2 linked regions of the Lonchura striata genome follow. The protein of the gene in region 1 purifies or fractionates together with the protein of each later gene. This does not show direct contact. Links are inferred from orthologs where the notes say so. Each region holds a gene or a part of one and is shown on either strand. Other genes may lie near its edges.

Region 1 (7,011 bases):
GCAGCTTCCCACCATTCCCTCTCCTGCAGGTGCCTCACTGCTCTGCCTAATGATCCCCATGCAGAGCTGCAGAATAAATTATTACAGAAACAGCCATTATTTCTAATCATCATAAACTGTTTTTCCTGTAAACTTCAATCACTGCTAATCACCATCTCTTCCTTGCTGTGGAGAGACCCAGTGCAATTAGGGGAGCAGAGTAACACACCTGAAACAGCATCACACAACCAGATTTAGCTTATCATTCACCTGAATTATTCAAAATGTTACTAGAAGTTTAAATATTTTGTCTCTCTCATACATCAGGACAGCCATTCATTTCTCCCTGTGAGAATGTACTGCAAAAATCAAATCACACCAGTCCAGTAAAAGAGAATAAGATCTAAATGGCATTGCAGAACAGATTTGCAGGGCAGGAGGAGTCACTGAAGCTCCTCTTCCCATCTTGTAGGTTGAAGCACCTGTTAAAAATGCTGACAACAGAACAGCACCTGTGTTCCAGCATCAGCCTCACCTGTTGTGCCTGGAGATATCACACACCTCCATCCTCCCACCGAGTGTTCCGTGTTTACCTGACACAGCTCTGGGGTGCTGCTCCTGCCCCCCCTGCTGCCCACCCTCCCCAGCACTCTGCTGGCCCACGGGCCAGCTGGAAGGAGCAGGCAGCTCCCTTGGTAGCTCACGTGGAAAGCATTCGAAGCATCAGAGCTAGCTTGGAGAGTGAGATGGAACACTCAGCTAGGGGATTCTCTCTGCAGCATTAAACAACCTGATAATTCTGCAACAACTGCATTTGTAGGCAAATCATGACAACACTGAATACTAAGAAGCTTCCTGATAACCCAAGGAGAGCATCACTCATCCAATTGCCAGACTAGGAGGCAGCTAAGCAGCAATCTTTCTTTTAGATTCACATAAATCCCCCTTTCCTTCACCAGGCTCCCAGGCTGGTCAAAAAAAAGGCACATTTGTCTCACATTTTTTAGTAGCAGAAAAGCTCAAAGCTGAAGAATAAAGTAGAGGTTGATCCCTCTCCTTTCTCCCCACATCCCCAGTCCCAACTCCCAGCACTCAGCATGCACCAGGGTGTTCCCTGAGCACACAGCTGGGAGGGCTCAGGGGCACTGCAGCCAGGTTGGGTTAGGCCCAGGGAGCCTCAGAACCACGTCCAGTGTGGGTGAAAGGTTCTCACCACTGACCAGAGACTGGGCTCCTGTTCTGGGCAACAGGACGCTGAAAAAAGCCAGTCAAGGCTCACAGATTTCCCTGGCTAAGTGCAAAGGTGAGATGAAAAGAAGGTGCAAGGAAGAAGGTGAGACCAGGAATCTGGAGCAGGGACAGAGGAAACACTCTTAATGAGAGACAGACCACAAAATGGGTCTGTCTGGGGTTTTTCTCAATTACTCAGCACATTTCAGGGGTGGCAGTGGAGCACCTGTGATGCATGGCACGTCACCAGGCCAGATTTCTCACCTCTGCTCTGCACCACAGCACTGCACCAGCTGCCCTCCATCCACAGCCCAGCACAGTGCAAAAAGCACTTGGAAAACCAATTCCCCAGCATTTCAACCACCAAATGACTTGGCCTAGAGACAAGATTCCAGCCAGAGGCAAGCATGAATGAAAAATGTGATTTTCCCAGGCTGATACCCAGCAAAGCATGACTGAGCTCCTGGCAAAGAGCAGAGCAATCCAAACACATCCTGCAGCACCTGGACACCTGCAAAGGAGGGGATGTGCAGGCACCACAAGAAGGGATTTCACAGTCAAGGCTGTTCCTTCACCTTTTAAAGCCTTTCTGGCCACTAGCTGATGTGATCTATCACTAATAAGGGATTTTTTGATTTTTTTAAATTAATACAGAACAAAAACACTGCACAACCTTTTAAGATGTTTCCACACAACAAAAGGTGGACTCACATTATAAAACAGCACCTGGCTGATTCTCAAATGAGAAAATCTCCCTGTATCCCACAGCACCAAGGGGTCACCATAACCTCACAGCACCTTTAGGGGACCCTAAAATCTTGCTGCACACCCCATGGAGACAGGGGCACTCCGGACCCACAGGGAATCCCACAATTCTGCCCCACATCCCAGAGCACCAAGGGATCACCCCTGTCACAGCATCCCTAAAGGTCCCTGCCCACAGCCCACAGGGAGAGGGGTCTCAGAGCTTCACAGCACCCCGGGCACCCCAAATCCTGACAGCAGCACCGAGACACCCGGGGCTTCACTGCACCCCCAGGGCACCCCACAGTCCTGCCCCTCACCACAGGGACAGGCGGCACCCCAACTCCTGAGGGAGCCCCGGATGCTCATCCCACAGCACAAGGGGTCACCACAGCCTCTGAGCACCTCCAGGAAACCCCAAAATTCAGCTCTGCACCCCACAAGGCCACTACAACCTCACGGCACCCTGAGGGAACCCTAAATGCTGCCTCACACCCACATGGAGAGGGGTCACCCTGCTCCTGAGGGAAGCCCCAGTCCTGTCCCAAACCCCACGCTGCCAAGGGGCCACCCGGGTCCCACAGCACCCCTGGGGGACCCTAAAATCCTGCCCCACAAGGAGACGGGTCACCCTTGCCCGGCTCCTGAAGGAACCCAGTCCTGTCCCACATGCCACATCACCAAGAGGCCACCTCAGCCTCCAGAAAGCCCCGGGGAACACCGGGAGAGGGCACACCGGGAGAGGGGTCACCGCCAGCCCCCCACACACCGGGGGCGTCTCCACAGCCCCACAGGCCCGTCAGGACCCCCCACACCGCCGGGGGCGAGGGGGTCACCACAGCCTCACAGCGCTGCCGGGGGACCCCCGGGGCTGAAAGGCCTCCCGGCAGCGGGAACGCGAGAAGCTCGCAAAGCCGCGGGGCAGGGAGGAGCGGAGCGGAGGAGGGGGCAGGGGATGGCGATAGCGGCCGGCCGGGTCCCCCCCACTTACCCGCCCCGCCATGTTGCCGCAGCGCCGACCGACGGCCCTCCCCGCGGCCGCCAGGGGGCGGTGCAGCGCAGGCGCCGCGCCGCGCCGGGGCGGGGCCTCGAGGGCGGGGAGGCCACGCCCCCTGCGCGAATACGCATTCCCATTGGTCAGTCCGCCCGCCGCTCAAGGCACTGAGGGTTGCGTCACGGAACGCCCCGCCCATCGGCCTGGCGGTGAGGGGCAGGACGTTGTGCTGTCAGTCATCGGGAGCGCTGCGGGGATTGGTCGGGAGGGCGGGGTGGGCGGGGCCGGGGTTCCGGGGATGGCGGGGCCGGGGATGGACACGGGAGCGCCCGGCCGGGAATGCGATGGCGGCCCGGAGCGGGCCCGGCTGCTCCCGGCTCCTCCCGGCCCCTCCCGGCCCCTCCCGGCCCCTCCCGGCCCCTCCCGGCCCCGTGGTGTGAGGGTGAGCGGGGCCGGGCCGCCGGCAACCCCTGCTGAATTATTTATTTATTTATATTTTTATGTGGTTTTGATTAATTAATAATATTTATAATAATTGTTCATAATTTTGTAGTAATATTTATATCTTAATGATAATTACATTATCTATTGTATAGCATATTGTATAATATTAATTATAGGATGTTGTCTTTTTCTATATAATAAAACAATACGAATTTAAATTTTTTTTCACATAATTTTTAAAAATTTAATTCTGTTTTAATTTCATTTTTAATCTGGCTTTGGTTCTGCTCCTGCTCCAAAGAGGCCGCACAGCAGCGCTTGTAAACCAGGCATCGCATCGTGGTCTCCTTGGATGACATGTAATGGCTTAACTGTTCCCCCGACGGGACTTCCCGTTTGGCTGACACTAATGGTTGTGTGGGAGCTCAGAGCTGCCCAAACCCCTTGCAGGTGTCACAGCCAGCCGTGGCTCATTCCTGGGTGTCCTAGTTTAGGGCAAATTTGGGGAAAACCCTCTGGAAGGAGCCCCCAGAAAACAGACCCCCACAGCCCCTCCCCACCTACCTGATTCGGGAAAAACAAATTTCTCTGAGAGAAGTGGAAAAGAACCTGTTTATTTAACAAACAAAGCACTCCCCAGCACCAAAGAAAATAACAACACCAGATGACAACAAAACTCACCACTCTGAAGAGATGAACAAATCCAGAGAGTCTTTCCTGGGCGTGGTTGCCCAGGTCTGGACGCTGGGGATTGCTCTCCTTCACTGGGGATGGCTGCTGCAGATCACAAAATGCAGGCTCTGGGTGCTCCTCAGTGTTTCCAGGTCCCAGTCCGGAGCAGGTTGGATGCTATTCAGGAAAAGGAAAGGAAAGGAAAGGAAACAGTCCAGGGAAAGAATTGGACTGCTTAGCTAAACTAACTAGGAAGCAAAGGCAAAAGCAGAAGCAAGCAAAGCAAGCAAGCAAGCAAGCCAGCACCAGCCTTTTCTAGACAGCAGACCATGGAGGGAGGTGAACTGGCTGACAACAAGGCAAAACAAACCTTCACTTTCAGAGTCAGTTCTGAAAGCACAGAACATAATATCAGACATAAACAGAACACAGGATTGGAGATACAAACACCATAAGGTCACCCTAGGACACTGGGGGACGGGGCTCGGGGCTCCTCCAGCCCATGGCCACCACACAGGATCTGCTCCTGCACAGCCGGGTCCTGCCCGAGCGCCCAGATCTTCCAGCCAGGCTCCGGGATGGGGATCCATGTGGGATTTGCTTGGAATTGTGCTTTGCTCTGGAGAAGCAGATGACGCTGGAGGAGTGGTGCTGAGAGGTGACAATGGCTCCTTCACAGAGCTCATCCCCCTGTGTGGTGCTCAGCCAGAGATGAAATCCCAGCTGTGTTTGTGTTCTGAGGGAGGGGATGCCAAACACTCCGACCCCAAAGCTCGGTAGTGTCTGTAAAACCAACCCAAACATCCTGGGAGCTTTAACACATTAGCAGCCTGTCCCAGCAGCTTCCTGTGTGGGTTTTGACAGCACCGTAAAATATTAATACTGATTGTAACTGCTGGTTACTGCCTTGAACAGGTACCAGAGTCAGCTGGGATTGCCAGGTCCATGGAAAAGTGGCACCAAGGAGATTTCATCACACTGGCCAAAGTGGTCGGTGCCCCAGACTGTGGATGTGCCTCAGTGCACAGCACAGGCCTAAGGAGAAGAAGAAATGGGGTCAGTGCCTAAATCTGCCATGGGCTGATACCAGCAGGGCAAGGATCCATTTCCTGCAGTGAAACCCTGTTGTCCCTGCCTGCAGCTGAGCACTTTTACTGTCCCTGACAGAAATCTCAGCACTGGGAAGTGGTTGTTAAATATTGCAAACAAGCCCTGTGCTTCGGGGTGCAGCAGCCAGACCCCGACAGGTGACAAGGCTGACACCGTTGTCCTGCACAGCTGGAAAGGCGCCCAGATAGGAGGCTCAGCCCAGCAGTGAGCTCTGGCTCAATGATGAGTTTTGGAGGGTATCCTCACTGCTCTCAGCTTCCTAGATCTCTGCTCTGTGGCCTTAAGGGAGTCTCTTGCAGAAGAAATACAGAAAATACAATGTATTAATTAGTAGGGAGTAGCTGAGTGGGACAGTGAGGCAGTGGCCGTGCTTCCCCCCTTTTCACCATTTCAAAAGGGGGAGAAAAACAAAGCAAAGCTCCCCCAAACCAAGCACAAAGATCACACCGACTCCTCTGCAGGAACTGCAGCCCACACCTGGCTGCTCCAGAGCCAGCTCCAAATCCCTGCCCCACAGCTCTGCCCCACAGCCCTTCCATGGGGCAGGGAGCAGCAGATGGAACTGGGGTCTGGGACATGCTCTGGAACCAAGACTTTCACTGACTGTTTGAACTCAAAATGTCCCTCAGACATTTTTGGAGGTTCCAGGCCTTGGTCAGAAGCATTTTAGACCCTGGTGGGCAGCTGGAAACAGCTGTGATTTTGAGTTTGAGCCATGGAATGAGTTACCAACTTTGAAGGTGGAACAAGCAGTCACAAAGGGTTAGATAGTATAGTAAAAGTAGTTACAAAACAGAGGGGAATTTTTTTTTGTATTGTACAGGGGGGTTTTAGCACATGTACAGGGGGGTTTTACTTTGTACATGGCAGTCAGAAGTTCTAAGATGGAGGAAAGTGGGCTGATCCTTTTCTTCCTCCTTCTTCTTCCTTGCCTCCATGTTCTTGGTGATGTTGGCACTCACAGATTGGTTTCGAGTATAAAAGCACCATTTAATATCAGTAGTAGGTATTGGGGGAAAACTGTACACATATTATACATAATATATCATATAAAAGCTAGCAGCAGCCCTGGGCAGGGAGAAGAAGAAGACAGCAGACAGAGAGGGTGTCAGGGTGTGTGTCTCTGCCTGGGTCGCTGACCAAACAGCCACAGCCCACAAAAACAATCTTTTCGATTTCTTACAATAAACTGCCTTGAGACCGAACAATAAGAGGAGTCTTTCTTTGGAAGCACGGGTTGGAGGAAAGACTTTACCACCACATGAGACCCCAGACCAAGCCCGGGGTTCTCACAACTGACAACCCCCTCATCTCCTGGAGTGAATCCTCTGGCTTCCAGCAGACAGAACCTCTGTGTCTGCAGTCCCTGGGTGGGTTTAGGAAGGGGCTGGGCAGACCTGGCTGCCCAGGCTCTCCCTGCTGCCCTCCTGTGAAAAATGCATATTATATGGCTCTAAGCAGATAGTTACTATATGTATTATGTTATATTGGTTAGTTGTGCTGTTGTAGTTAAAATGAAGACTTTTGTAGTTAAAAAAAAAATATATATATAGAGACTCTGTATATGGGGGGGAAGGTCTTTTTCTTTTTTTAGGATGATATACTCACTTCGAGGAACACCTAAATCTTCCAAAGGAGAGGAATTTATGGCTTCTTATCAGAAGAAACTAATTTCTTTAGGCCTTGCTCAGAATCGAAGACGCCAGGAGATTAAAGAAAACAGTTGACATACAACAGAGTTTCTTGTTTAGAATAGAATGTATGCATAACCATGAAGGTGTATGAATATGCAACAAGTGTATTGTTTTAAGGGTGATTGTTTTGTTCACAAGACATGC
Region 2 (7,323 bases), on another chromosome or scaffold:
GGGACGCCCCAAATCCTGCCAGCGTGGGAAAGTCATCCCAAATTCAGCAAGGAAGGGCCAGCAAATGCCAGCCCTAAAGCTGCCACCTGTTGCAGCACTCCTGGTGTGGGGCTGGCCGGAGCAGGAGGTGGATTTCTGAGCCCAAGAAATGCAGGAACCGGTTCAACGTGTGCCGCAGCCTTCCCACCCCAGGCTGAGCGTGAGGAAAGCTGCTGGGATTGCAAAAGCTGGCTCTCCTGTTCCCATGCTGAGGAGGCACCACTGCAAATGGGGTTTGTGCCCATTCCCTGCCTTTGCTCGGGATGCTGGGCCACTGCCACCTTTGGGAAGCACAGGCCAGGATGTGCTCTTTGCTTAAAATTTGGGGGATTCCTCCTGGCCAAGCCTCTGCAAAATCAACTCACGTGGGAGTAAGGCTGTGTGTATGTGGATGGGGACATCTCCCAGAGCTCTGCAGGCACCATCCCTCTCCTGCCAGCTGCTGCAAGCCCAGGGCTACCTGTGCTCAGCTCCTAAAGAGCCCAGAGATTTGAGAGAGGTGGGAATGAGGGATCCCCACCCGGGCATGGACAGCATCCAAGCGACACAGGGCTGTTCTCACCCCACAGAAGGGGAGGAAGGAAGCCGTGCCTGTGCCTCTGCAGGGCAGGAAGGGCAGCAGGAGCCGAGCAGGCTGCCTGTCACTCCCTCCTGCTTCCTCCCTCACTGCCTGGGAACACAGCCTGCCTGGGCCACTCCTGCCGGGCACCCCGTGCCAGGGACAGGGCCCCACAGTGCCAAGGTTTTGCTCTGTGAAACCGGGTGAAGGAGGCCAGCTGGCTGGTTTATATGAGGTTTGAAAGACTGCAAATCTTGTGAGAAGGAAGGGGTTTAGTCTCCTGGCTTTAGCATAAAGCACAAAATTCCTTCCCAACAGAGGAGCCGGACATGAACAACACTGCTGCTAACTGCAGGTGTGTGAGAAGATGGTGCTCGAACACCTTACCTCACTTCCTCTCTGCACTGAGCAGGCTGCTTTTAGTTCTCCAAAATAAAAAAATTATTATCTTTAATCCATATAACCCAAAGAATGGCACACACACCACCTTCTGCATGGTCTCGCTGGTGCTAAGGACTGTGGACCATTGTGGCAAGGGGAACACAGGAACGTGTAACCACCTCTGTCATTATAGGGCTGCTGAGAGAAGTGTTGGACTCAGCAATCCTGCAGCCCTATTCAGCCCTGATGAGAGCATTTTTGGGGTGCTGTGTGCACCTCTGGGCTCTAAGGAAGGGCTGCCAAGAAGATGGAGCCAGACTCCGCTCGGTGGTGCCAACCATCAGGACACAGGAGGAAAGGGGCAGGAACCGATGTTCAGCAAGTTCCACATGAACAGAAGGAAGCTCTGTCACTGTAGGAGTAACCAGGCTGTGAAAAATGCCAATCACTTGGTTTTTAAAAATTTTAAAAGTTTAATAATAAAATGGTTATAAAAATAGTAATGCAATTAGAGTAATAAAGTTTAGAGTCAGGACAATTACAAGACAATAAAAAGCAAAGAATTACGACAACGTCCAGATGCTCTCGGACACTAAGTCTTGTGAACAAGGGAATCACCCTTAAACCAATACACTTGTTGCATATTCATACATCCTTCATGGTTATGCATACATTCTATTCTAAGCAAGAAACTCTGACGTATGTTTCCTTTAATCCCCCTGGCATCTTTGGTTCTGAACAAGGCCTGAAGAAATTAGTTTCTTCTGATAAAAAGCCATAAATTCCTCTCCTTTGGAAGATTTAGGTGTTCCTCGAAGTGAGTGTCTCATTCCTAAAAAAAAAAAGAAAAAACCAGAAAAAACCTTCCCCCCCACATACAGAGTCTTTATTTTTTTTTAACTCCTAAAGTCTTCATATTAACTACAAAAGCACAACTAATCAATATAGCGTAATACATATAGCAGCTATCTGCATAGAGCCATATAATATGCATTTTTCACAGGGCTGATTTATTAAAAAAATGTGGATATTGATCTAGTACTGATATCCAACAGTCAAGGACAAAAACTCTCTAACAGTATAAAGTTAAAGGTGTGTGTTTATTTTGTGCGGGATCGCTCCCAAATCCACACTGCACCTTCCAGGTGGTTACAGAGCCTTTTTATCCATACAAGTATTGAATACACAAAATACAAATACATATTCATCATTTTGGTACATCCCATTCCTCGCTTTGTATGCTAATCACTCCAAAAGCCATTCAGCACGCGTGGTTTGTCCCTTGAAATGGGTCGGTGTCCCTTTCATGGGGAGGGGTCCCAAAATGAGGAAGTCAATGAAGTCTTCCTCCTTCTGACCTTTCTACCTTTTCAATGCAAATATGACAAATGAATCTTGGTAGAACTCCCATTCCTTGTCTTCAATTGGTTTCAGAACAGACGAGGCCCACAATTGTCTTATGTTCCTAAAAGCTGTTTGTCAGTCTCTGTATTCTTCATTATAAACCCAGCTAACTAAACATTGTGTCACTATAGGACACGTAAAAGCACGATGCGAGTCGCTGCTATTGCAAAGGTGAAAAAGAGGAAGTTTATTTTCTGACTCCAGCATTTATACTTTTCCAAAGGTGACAGTGGATTGGAGGGTGAAGGTGCCACCTCTCCAATGACATTGGACAAACTACCAGTACATCAAGTTTCTCCACCTCTGTGAAGGAATGCAAAACAATAGGTTGTTTGCAGAAAGTTGTGTGAGAAAGTTCTCTAACAGAATGTAAACTCAGAAGGCTTAAGAAAATCTTAAAAATCAGGGCGACAACATTGTGCTGACAAGCAATCAATTATTAGTCAACTGCTAACTCTTAACTTCATCAAGGCCTACTCATTTATTTTAATTAACTCTAGTAGGGCTTATCTCTAACTAAAATCTTAGCTCCTCTAAAATCTCTAAACCCCTTAAAATTTACGTTTCAGGGCAATGGAACAGATGGCCCAGAGAGGTCCATGGGGACACAACCCGTGCCACGTGCTCGGGGGTGAGAAGGGAGGCGGCACCGCCGAGTTCCCTTCCACCCTGAGCCATGCTGGGCGTGATGCGCTGGGTGGCTGTGGGAACTCAAAATGTCCCTCAGACATTTTTGGAGGTTCCAGGCCCCGGTCAGAAGCATTTGAGACCCTGGCAGGCAGCTGGAAACAGCTGTGATTTTGGGTTTGAGCCATGGAATGAGTTACCAACCTTGCAGGAAGAACAAGAAGTCACGAAAGTTTAAATGTTATAGTAGAAGTGGTTATAAAGTAGAGGGGAGAATTTTTTAGTATTGTACAAGCGGGTTTTAACACCTGTACATGGGGGTTTTTTGTTCTGTACATGGGGGTCAGAGGTTTTAAGATGGAGGAATGCAGGCCGGTCCTTTTCCTCCTCTTTCTTCTTCCTTACCTCCATGTTCTTGGTGATGTTGGCACTCTCAGATTGGTTTAGAGTAGAAAAGCACCATTTAATATAGGTAATAGGCATTGGGGAAAAACTGTAAGCATGTAACACGTAATGTACCATATAAAAGATAGAAAAGCACCATTTAATACAGGTAATAGGCATTGGGGGAAAACTGTAACCATGTAACATGTAATGTACCATATAAAAGATAGAAAAGCACCATTTAATACAGGTAATAGGCATTGGGGGAAAACTGTAACCATGTAACATGTAATGTACCATATAAAAGATAGAAAATCACCATTTAATATAGGTAATGGGCATTGGGAAAAATTGTAAACATGTCACACGCAATGTACCATATAAACGAGAGCAGCAGCCCTGGGCGGGGAGAGAAGAAGCAGTCGGGAGTCAGAGAGGATGTCAGGGTGTGTGTGTGCCTCTGCCTGAGCTCTGAGCAAACCACAGCAGCAGAGAAGAAAATCTTTTAGATAACTCGCAATAAACTGCCTTGAGACCGGACAGCAGAGACTGCTGAGTTTTCTTTGGAAGCACGGGTTGGAAGAGAGACTTTTCCACCACATGTAACTCCTGAACCAGGCCTGGGTTCCTTCAGGTGGGAGGGACAGGGGGCACTGCGGGAGGAGCTACGGGAGGAGCTGCGGGACTGCCCGGGCAGCACCGGGACGAAGCCGCGGCCCCTCAGCGCCCCCGCTCCCTCAGCGCTCCCGCTCCCTCAGCGCTCCCGCCCCCTCAGCGCTCCCGCCCCCTCAGCGCTCCCGCCCCCTCAGCGCTCCCGCCCCGCGGCGCCGTGCGCGCTGACGTCACCCGGCCACGCCCCCGGCGGGCGGGGCTGGCGGAGGGCGCGGGCGGGCGGGGCCGGGCCGGGCGGGGCCTGGCGGCGGCCGAGGCGCGCGGCGGCGGCAGCGCCATGTCGATGGAGGACCCCTTCTTCGTGGTGAAGGGGTGAGCCCCGCGCCCCGCGCCCGCCGGGACGCGGCCGCGGGGACGCGTAACCCGCCGGCGGCGCGGAGGGGGCGGGCAGGGCCGCGGCGAGGCTCGGGAGGCCGGCGGAGCGGGGGCGAGCGGCGGCGGGGGTCTGTGAGGGGGGGAAGATGGCGGCGGCCCCCGGGCTGTGAGGGCTCCGCGCCGGTCCGGGGCCTGTTCGCCGGTGCGGGGGCGCTGCCGTGAGGCCTGGGCCCGGGCCTGGCTGCAGGTGCGGCTTGGGGACAGTGGGAAAGGTGCAGGGAGCAGGGAGCGAGCTGTGGGATAAACAATGGCCGTGAGAGGAAGCCTGCAGCGAAGAGCCTGAACGCAGGGAAATACCAGCCGAAGGAAAATTGTCATTAATAGGGTGAAAGGAGCTGTGTTGGAGCTACTGCAGAGGGTCCAGTGGAGGCCACCTAGATGATTTGGGGTCTGGAGCATCTCTCTGGTGAGGAGACACTAGACGAGCTGGGCCTGTTTAGCCCAGAGAAGACAGAGGGGATCTCATCACTCCATACAAATGTCTCTAAGGCGTGTTATGAGGATGGTGCCAGACCCTTTACAGCAACAGGCCATAAACTGAAATTCAAGAAGTTCCACCTCAAGGTGAGGAAGAACTTCTTTCCAGTGAGGGTGGCAGAGCACTGGAAAAGGCTTCATGGAGTTTGCTGCAGACATTCCAAACCCATCTGGAGGTATCCCTGCTCTAGGTGACAGTGAATGACAGGGGGTTTGGACTGGATGACCCACAGAGCACCAGCAATTCTGTGATTCTGTGAAAGCAGCTCCATCACTGAACACTGCCCTCGGGCCACCTTCAGCTTGTGCTGGGGGCTGCTCTCCTGCCCCTTGTCACAGCGAGACAGCCCCAAGGAGCAGCAGAGGGGCTCCTGGTGGGGTGTTTTGGGAGAGCCATGTGAGAAGAAGTGTGGGAATGGATATTGGTACAGCCAGGGAAAATGAATCCCTTCACCAGGATAAACTCGTGCTTAGAGGAAAGTGTAGGAGTCGCCATGGGTGGGGAGCAAACGTCCTGTCAAACTTTCCAGAGATGTTCCTGCAGCGGTGGGGAAGGGCAGGGAGGGGGAAGGGGATGTGCTGCCGCTCCCACAGTTAATTATTACCTGGCAGGTCGGAGGGGCTGCCGGTGGTGTAGCCACCAGAATTGCTACTAGTTTGCTTTTCTGGTGTCTGTAACTCCTCCCATCAGAGGACACCCAGCTCTGCTTTACATTCTTGCTGCTGGGGACTTCCACAAGTGTGGGGAAAAACAAACCCAGCCAAATAAAATCAAAACTTGTGCTGGCAAGTAGAGGAGGGAATGAATTTTTCCAGATCCTCAGTGCAGGCTGCTGGCTTTAGGGCACTCAGAGTGGCAGACTCGGAGCTGTAGGCGTGTGAGAAGAGGAGGGACATGCATCAGAGTGCTGAGAAACTGCAGCTTAGACAGCAACTGGAGGACCAGCTGGATCAGGCCCTGGTGGAACTTACAGAGGTGCAGTCCTGGCACGTCAGTTCATCTGCCCTGGGCCTCCCCTGCTTTCCTTCACTGGGGTGAAACACCTGACTGCTGTGTGCAAGCTCATGGTGGCCTCCTTGGACACCAGCACATCATCTGATCTCCCCGGTGAACCTGGGGGAGCAGTTCAGAGCTTGGGACCGCAGAGTTTGTAAATGCACATAGCCACACTGAGAGTCTGTGACCCAAATTTACAAACCTGCTTGCCCCAAACCAGATGTGTCAGCAGTGCCTTCCCCCGCTGTGAATGCATTCGTCTCCAAAAGAGCTTAGAGCAGCAGAAAAAACTTGTGTTTCCTAAGCCAGCGTAGTAGGCCTGTGTATTTTTTTTAAATGCTGAATTAAAATAAACAGTTCTGCATTCAACAGTCTGCCTGGCTGTGCTGCGGGGACAGTTCCTGTAATTCTGTGTGCCCTTGGGGTATCTTACATGGGTACTTAAGGGCCTTGAGAGGAAAACTGTAGAGAGAGGAATGCAAAGTGTGGATTGCCAAAGAGCTGCCTTGTTCAGACCCTCTGCCCTGGCTTGCCTGGGTGACACTCAGCAGCTTCCCCTGAAGAAATAGGTCCCTTCATGAATAACTTCATGCTGCAGTGAGATTCAGGGCAGATCTTTATTTTACAAAATAAACACGCAGTTGTTGGAAGGAGGGGTGTTTGGGAGGAAGCTGTGGCATTCCTGCTCAGCTGGACACGGGGCTGTCCCAGTGTCACTGCTGCAGGGCAGCTAGTGATAATTCTTGGCTTCTCTTCACTCACCTGCAGGGAGGTGCAGAAAGCTGTGAACACTGCCCAGGGGCTCTTCCAGAGGTGGACAGAGCTCTTGCAAGATCCCTCCATTGCCACAAGAGAAGAAATCGACTGGACTACTAATGAGCTCAGGAACAACCTGCGAAGCATCGAGTGGGACCTGGAAGACCTGGATGAAACCATTAATATCCTTTTTTTGGCCCTTTGGAGGTAGTTGCAGTTCTCAGGTTGTACTAAATAGCAAAGTCCCAGTGCTTGTTCCTCTGCAAAAATCAGGACTGTTTGGGATTGAATTTTGCATTCACATTGGCTTTTCTCAAATTGCAAATGAGAAATTAAGTAAAGGATTTTCCTTTTGTCTTTTTGTCTCCCTTTTTGCAAGGTATATTCTAAGAGGCTTTGTTTTAGAAAGCCTGTTGTGTTGTGTGAATCTGCATTTCTGCAGGCTCAGTTCATTTTCTAGGCTGCCTTCCAGAAATACTCCTTGTCCCTCGTGCTCCTCTGAGTGCTCCTGAAAACACTGCCCAGCATCACAGAACCAAAAAACCACATGGAAAAGAGAAACCTTGTGTGTGTGCTTCACAGCACATTCCTGCCATGTCTCCTTTTCCATCCAGCCTGCAGTTCTTTGCTAATCAGATTTTGGGAAGAGGCA

Evidence for each region. Proteins that work in one complex are often made in the same cells at the same time.
Region 2: the proteins of NSF (region 1) and STX6 purify together in Homo sapiens (affinity purification with mass spectrometry; 3 studies listed by BioGRID and IntAct, with this or other methods). This does not show direct contact. The link is inferred for Lonchura striata from reciprocal best matches to the Homo sapiens genes NSF and STX6.

What each region holds. Positions count from the first base shown.
Region 1 is NC_134627.1:3,022,654-3,029,664, reverse strand, and holds the start of NSF (vesicle-fusing ATPase), read right to left. Parts: upstream 3,023-7,011; 5' UTR 2,957-3,022; coding exon 2,945-2,956; intron 1-2,944.
Region 2 is NC_134611.1:2,047,009-2,054,331, forward strand, and holds the start of STX6 (syntaxin-6), read left to right. Parts: upstream 1-4,295; 5' UTR 4,296-4,343; coding exon 4,344-4,378; intron 4,379-6,683; coding exon 6,684-6,853; coding exon of another isoform or gene 6,854-6,867; intron 6,868-7,323. UniProt on the Homo sapiens protein: SNARE promoting movement of transport vesicles to target membranes. Targets endosomes to the trans-Golgi network, and may therefore function in retrograde trafficking.